2 linked regions of the Xenopus tropicalis genome follow. The protein of the gene in region 2 interacts with the protein of the main gene of each other region in a biochemical or structural test. Links are inferred from orthologs where the notes say so. Each region holds a gene or a part of one and is shown on either strand. Other genes may lie near its edges.

What was found.
Region 1: the proteins of eea1 (region 2) and rab5c form a complex in vitro, tested with the Homo sapiens proteins (2 studies listed by BioGRID and IntAct, with this or other methods). The link is inferred for Xenopus tropicalis from reciprocal best matches to the Homo sapiens genes EEA1 and RAB5C.

The regions. Positions count from the first base shown.
Region 1 is NC_030686.2:6,904,496-6,908,324, forward strand, and holds part of rab5c (ras-related protein Rab-5C), read left to right. Parts: intron 1-218; coding exon 219-370; intron 371-1,402; coding exon 1,403-1,525; intron 1,526-3,156; coding exon 3,157-3,250; intron 3,251-3,829. UniProt on the Homo sapiens protein: The small GTPases Rab are key regulators of intracellular membrane trafficking, from the formation of transport vesicles to their fusion with membranes.
Region 2 is NC_030679.2:55,861,475-55,864,658, reverse strand, and holds the end of eea1 (early endosome antigen 1), read left to right. Parts: intron 1-12; coding exon 13-111; intron 112-512; coding exon 513-635; 3' UTR 636-2,406; downstream 2,407-3,184. UniProt on the Homo sapiens protein: Binds phospholipid vesicles containing phosphatidylinositol 3-phosphate and participates in endosomal trafficking.

The sequences.
Region 1 (3,829 bases), on a different chromosome or scaffold from region 2:
CATCTCATAATGTAATGCTTGGGTGCTTTTTTTTTTGTTGTGCTAATTGGTGTCTTGAAAGCCACACTTCCCAAACTGGGGTTTCATTTCCTCCTCTGTGTTGACCTTAGCAACTCGTCACAGACCTTAGCAACCTTACCAACATTACCCTCACACAATCATAATAGTGCTAATATGTATATAATAATAACAATAATATTATGTACTTCTATCTCCAGCTGCCTTTCTAACACAGACCTTATGTTTGGATGATACAACGGTGAAGTTTGAGATCTGGGACACGGCAGGGCAGGAGAGGTATCACAGTTTGGCCCCCATGTACTACCGAGGAGCCCAGGCAGCCATTGTAGTTTATGACATCACCAATACAGTAAGTGCACATTACATGAAATAATGCCCTATCTCTCTGCTCAGTCCTTGTCCTAATTGCCCCTCTCCAGAGAGCAGCCAATCACAGATCTGCCTCCACGCGGGGAAGGTCCTGCTGCTGGCTCTCTTGTCACAGACTGGGAAAGCAGCCAATGGGAAGGCTCTCTAGTACCAGCACTTTTTTGGATAAATTTTTAGTACAAAGTACAAAAGGCAGTGACTCAAGCAACTTTCCACTTTTTTTCCCCCTCAATGGTAAATATTTATTCTTGACATTATACGACAGATTTATGATTTTGAGGTTTTTTTATACTGCTTTTTTTCAGTTTCATGGAAAAAAAAACACTTGAATTTTTGCAAAATTTCAGATTTTACAGAAAGAGACCTAAATGTTCAATTTGTATTAAAAAAAAAAAAAGCTATTTTCAAATTTCAGTTTTCAAGAAAAATTTGACATTTTGAAGGTTTTAATAATAAAAGAAGATAGCAATTAAGGCAATTTTAATATGTTACAGAATGTACTATTCCTAGCAACTTTGCAATTGGTCTTCATTATTTCTTTTTTATAGTTTTTATTATTTGCCTTCTTTGTCTACATCTTTCCACATGGGGGGGGGGGGGGGGTCACTGACCCCCAGCAGCCAAAAAAACCTTCTTCTTACAATTGTATTTGAATTATTACTTTGTATTCCTTATCTTTTTATTTAGTCCCTCCTCTATTCATATTCCAGTCTCTCATTCACACCCACTGCCTGGTTGCTAAGGTAAACAAGACTCTAGCAACTGGGTAGCTGCTGAAATTCCAAACTGGAGAGCCGCTGAACTTTCAGTTCAGCGGCTCTCCAGTTTGTAATTTCAGCAGCTATCCGGTTGCTAAACGACTGACAAACTACAAAAAAAATAAAGACCAATTGCAAATTGTCTGAGAATATCAACGTCTACATCTTAGTAAAAGTTATTTTCAAGGTGAATGTTCTCAGTACAACACTTTTCTCTATGAATTTCTTTTAAAGCTCTGTACTTTGTTCTGTAGGAAACATTTGCAAGAGCAAAAAACTGGGTAAAAGAACTTCAGCGTCAGGCAAGTCCCAACATTGTCATTGCCTTATCTGGGAACAAAGCCGACCTCTCCAGTAAGAGAGCTGTGGATTTTCAGGTGAGCTTGTTTGTTTTTAAGAAATATCATACTAATGGTTTGGTTCACCTTTAACGTTTAATATGTTATAGATTGGCTAATTGTAAGCAACTTTTCAATTAGTCTTCATTTTTTATCATTTATAGTTTTTGCATTATTCGCCTTCCTGTTCTGCCTCTTTGCAGCTTTCAAATGGGGGTCACTGACCCCGGCAGCCAAAACTATTGCTCTGTGAGGCTCCAGTTTTATTAATATTGTTACTTTCTATTACTTATTTTTCTATTCAGCCCCTCTCCTATTCAAATATCGGTCAATCTCTCAAATCACTCCCTTGTTACTAAGGTAAATTGGATCCTAGCAGCCAGATAACTGCTGAAATTCCAAGCTGGAGAATTGCAGAACAAAATTAAAATAACTAAAAAAAAATCAATAATAAAAAAAAATGAAGACCAATTGCAAATTGTTTCAAAATAGCACTCTCTGTGTCATACTAAAAGTTAATGTAAAGGTGAAAAGTACACTTTTTAAAATATATTTACTTTTGTAAGAGAGAGAAAAATAAAAAATGTTTTCAGTATAGTTAGTTAGGCAAAAATGTAATCTATAAAGGCTGGAGTGGGCAGATGTCTAACATAATAGCCAGAACACTACTTCCTGCTTTCAGCTCTCTAACCTCTTAGTCAGTCAGTGACTTTAGGGGGGGGCCACATGGGACATAACTGTCAGTTTGCATTTGAATGTGACCCGTGTGCTCACAAACTAACTGAACACTTATGTCCCATATGGCCCCGCCTAAAGTCACTAACTAACTAAGAGGTTAGAGAGCTGAAAGCAGGAAGTAGTGTTCTGGCTATTATGTTAGACATCTGCCCACTCCAGCCTTTATAGATTACATTTTTGCCTAACTATATTGAAAATATTTTTTATTTTGCACAGACTGTCTATTTTACCCCGTTTCATTTTTACACAGAGCTGTTCCTTTGAAATTCTGTAGTCAATCCCAAGTCCATGCATGGCACTGCCCGGCCTGACTCTGTTATTTATATATATTCCCGTGCATCTTACCCCAGCCCATAGTGCTCTCCTCATTGTCTGCCCCTTGAACTACTGCCCTTCTGTGCTCCTTCCCTGTGCCTGCACTATGGGCAGAAGACTCATCCCTGCTTAGTGGAGCTCACCCTAGCAACGTATAGGTAAGGCTGTCACATTGCCTGTAGCTCATCCAGTCTCCTCTAGTGCACTCTCCCAGCTCAACCAATTGGCTAGTGTAAAGGTCCCCGTACACTGGCAGATCGCCAAGCCAGCGGATCTTCTCACGATATCACCACCTACAGGTGTGTAGGCCCGTCGGTAGTGCCCGTCGGTAGTGCCCATACACGGGCCGATTAGCTGCAGAATCTGTCTAAGGGACCCATATCGGCACCTACTATTGGCCCGTGTACGGGGGCCTTTAGAGCAGTGCTGTTATAATTCCCAATAGCTGGCTCCATGGATCCCTCCAGATGTTTCCTGTGCCGGCATATTTATCTATCTCAGTACTAAATGTCAGCTCCCCTCTGCTGGTTTTCCCAGTGATCTATTGTGTTCCAGATATATTGCTTCTAACTGATACCTTGGTTTATTTTGCTCACCATGGAATGTTCCATTTGCAGGAAGCTCAGGCATACGCTGATGACAACAGCCTGCTCTTTATGGAGACCTCTGCTAAAACCGCAATGAATGTGAATGAAATCTTTATGGCCATTGGTAACGTTATTGTGTTTTACTACTTCTCATGAATACACAAAAACTCCTTTCTGAAAACTCTCTGTACTGCTCTTTTTTTTACTGGTGCTTTTAGTTTATACCCGTTACTTGATGATTTATGCCTCCCTGCTTAATTTTTCTGCACAAAAGATCTACTCCAGCACTGGGGGGGGCTGAAAGGCTAATCTTGCAAGCAGTACTAGCACAGATTGTTATGTTGGTGACGGAAAGGCAGGCAGGTAGGCAAGGGCCACACACAGATTAGCAATTAAGGGGGAAGCAAAAAAAGGAGTTTGTAGTGCAGCAGAGGTTCATTATTGTACAGGTATAGGATCTGTTATCTGGAAACCGGTTTCCAGAATGCTTGAAATTATGGGAAGGTAATTTCCCGTAGACTCCATTTAAATCAAATAATCCTTTCTTTTTCTCTGTAATAATAAAACAGTACCTGTACTTGATCCCAAATAAGATATAATTACCCCTTATTGGGGGCAGAACAGCCCTATTGGGTTTATTTCATGGTTAAATGATTCCCTTTTCTCTGTAATAATAAAACAGTACCTGTACTTGATCCCAACT
Region 2 (3,184 bases):
ATCCATATCCAGATAAAGCACAACCAAGCACTCAGTAGGAAGTGGACAGAGGACCACGAAGTGCAGAACTGCATGTCATGTGGCAGAGGATTTTCTGTAACAATAAGAAGGGTATGTGAAATGATAGCTACTATATTTCAGATATGTTCAAAGCTATGTGCACTTTTCATGAGTTTACCGAGTGTGTCCCAGCTTGGCAAAAGAGTACATAGCAGCCCAGCTATTTCTTTGCAATGCTGCATTCTGCTTTCCATTCCATTTTAGATTGCAGGCCTTTGGATCCAGCGCTGTGTTAGTCATGCGCATATTTTAGCCACACAAGGTAGAGAGTGGCAGGATACAGAGCCTGCCTGGGGACCTTTGCTGGCACTGCCTTTTGCACTGATTGCCAGAATTTTTTATCCGGCACTCAGAGCCTACTGCTGGCTGGGTTATGGACTTTATCCTTTTAGCATAAAAATGTCACATTGAGTTGCAGTAAATCTAATCTTATTTTGTCTTTTCATTTGCAGCACCACTGTAGACAGTGTGGAAATATCTTCTGTCATGAATGTTCCTCGAAGAATGCCTTAACGCCCTCCTCCAAAAAAGCTGTGCGTGTTTGTGATACATGTTTTGGTGACCTGCAAGGATAGGAGCCACTCCCTCAATAGATACCTGCAAATTACACATAGTATTTTTGTTAATGCACTTCATAAAGCACTCAAAGTACTTATTTCTTTGGATGAAGATTGATTGTAACCTTTGGCACCACAGTATACCTTTGGAAATATTTTATTGATACAAAGTCAGATAATTGTATTTTTCATGACAACATGAGGCCAGTTGATGGTCTTTATCCTGCCTTTAGCTTTCAGTCAAGATTTTTTAAATGTGTTTTTAGTTTGTTTGGTTTGGCTGCCTGTAAATAGTAGGCTAACAAAGAGGCAACTGCGTATTTTTATACATAATTTCAGAGTATACCAGGAAATCAGTCCAATAGTTTACTAATATTTGGGTTCGGTGGGAATAATAATCTGGCTCTCATGGTTTATACCTTTCTTTTATTAGGGGCAGCGACTTGCCACTGTTTCTATTGTTCCTTTCCTATTGCCATTGTGCCCCGCTCTTGTATTTTGGTTGTTGTTCTCCTTGTGGCTTGTGTCACACATGGAGAATATCTGTATTCTAACACAAGATCCATTCTTTCCTGTAGGATCCTAATAGTCTATTTGCTGTACAAAACACAATGAGAAAATGCTGTTCACTAAACTCCCTGTGTGACCTAAGCCCTTGCCTCCACTGCTGCACAAAGCTGTACAAAAACGTTCACCTTCCTAGAAGCTAAACCCTATTGAGATATTCTTAGAACTGTTATATAGCACCAAACAGAGCTGGAAGAAGGCCTTTTGTTTGTAATAAAATGAAAGCCCAAAATGAATCCTGCAGCTGTATTTGCTCAGTGTCCCAGCCATGGGAAGTGAAAGCATCGTTTAAGCAGGTACCATCATTGCGGCTAGGATGAAACTATGTTATTGGCCTTTTAAAGTGACACTGATACATCCAGATTTATACACGAGTGTGTTTCTTCCGGATGCTTGCTAGCACTAATGTAACCTGTTAAACTAACACCTTCCCTTACCTGTAGCCAATCCCAGTTATTTTTGTCTATTAATCTACAACACCTTTTCAGTGATCGCTGCTGCAGCAGTAATATCCTTGGTGGTTGGGCAATAGTGATGTGTGGGCCGACAAAAAGCTGACCCTAACCTGTGTCAAACCTGTATCTACCTCTGTTTATAGACCCACGCCAACCCACGACATCTCTGATGTCATAAAGAGGGTGGGATGAAGCTGGTATGCGCCTATAAATAGAGGCTACAGTAGGTGGAAGTGGGGTTTAGTAAGTTCACGGCTGTGGAGGGAAGAAGGTAAAGTTTGGACTGAACGTGCCGATGACCAGCAAGTCTTGTGCACATGTGGGGCTAAAGGGGGGGGGTGGGAGTCAAGGAATGTGTCACTGTCACTTTAAATAGACAACTCCTGCTCAAAAGTTAGTGGACTGTTGCTCTTTATGTTAAAACTGAACAAGAGCTAAAGATACTGCTGCATTGTAACCCCAAGAGCCATGTTTGGAATATTTCATGGGTCTGCAAATGCAACTCTGAGCAAATTGTTCTTCCTTTTGAAACTACTGTTCATTTTTCATATAGGCTTCACACTGTCCCTGTTTGTTCTCGTCAGCATTTTAACTGACAATAGTAAACACGAATATTAATTTTACATACTGGCTCATGCGAAATGCTAAACCACTTTAGTAGCTTCACGTGTGAGAGTTGAATGCTGTTAGTATTTTATTAGTAGATTTGGAAGATTGTCTTAATCCTGTGTTATTCAGTATGTGTACAATGATCATCATTTTTAGAACTGTATTTTCTACAGAACAATAAAACTGGTTCAGTTCATCTTCTGCAGAAAGAACGGCACAGTGAGGCACGTTAAAGCTAATGCCTGCTCGAAACCTGATCCAGATATGATACAGGCATGGGATGTATTATCCAGAGACCCGTTATCCACAAAGATCCAAATTATTGGAAGGCCATCGCCCATAGAAACCATTTTAATTAAACATTTGAAATTTTAAAAAATGATTTCCTTTATCTCTGTATTAATAAATCAGTACTTGATCCTAACTAAGATATAATTTATCCTTATTAGAGGCAAAGACAATCCTATTGGGTTTATTTAATGTTTTAATAATCTTTTAGCAGACTTAAGGTATGGAGAGCCAAATTACGGAAAATTCCCTTCTCCAGAAAACCCCAGCTTACGAGTATTCTGGATAACAGGTCCCATACCTGTACAAGGCAGGGTGCAAGGTTTGTAGGTTTTACTGAAGGCTGTTGTCTTTGTACTGAGCTCTATTTGGAGGCATGTAGGTACTTAGTTGTGACTAGTAAACATGAAAGGCTGATAGACTGAGGCTGACAGACTCATGCTGCTCTGTATTTTGCAGAATTAAGACAACTGTGTGGAGGTGGTGATTTGGAATATTGCACTAAGAATTAGAAAGAGGCCTACCTTTTTATTGCATGAAGCTGTTTGCTAGAACTACTTTGTATTTTTGGTATTGCACGGTATCTATTTAGAGAGACTGTAGGGGATCTTGGTCAGTTGTCAGCTCAGCCAAGTTTTGGGGTGCATC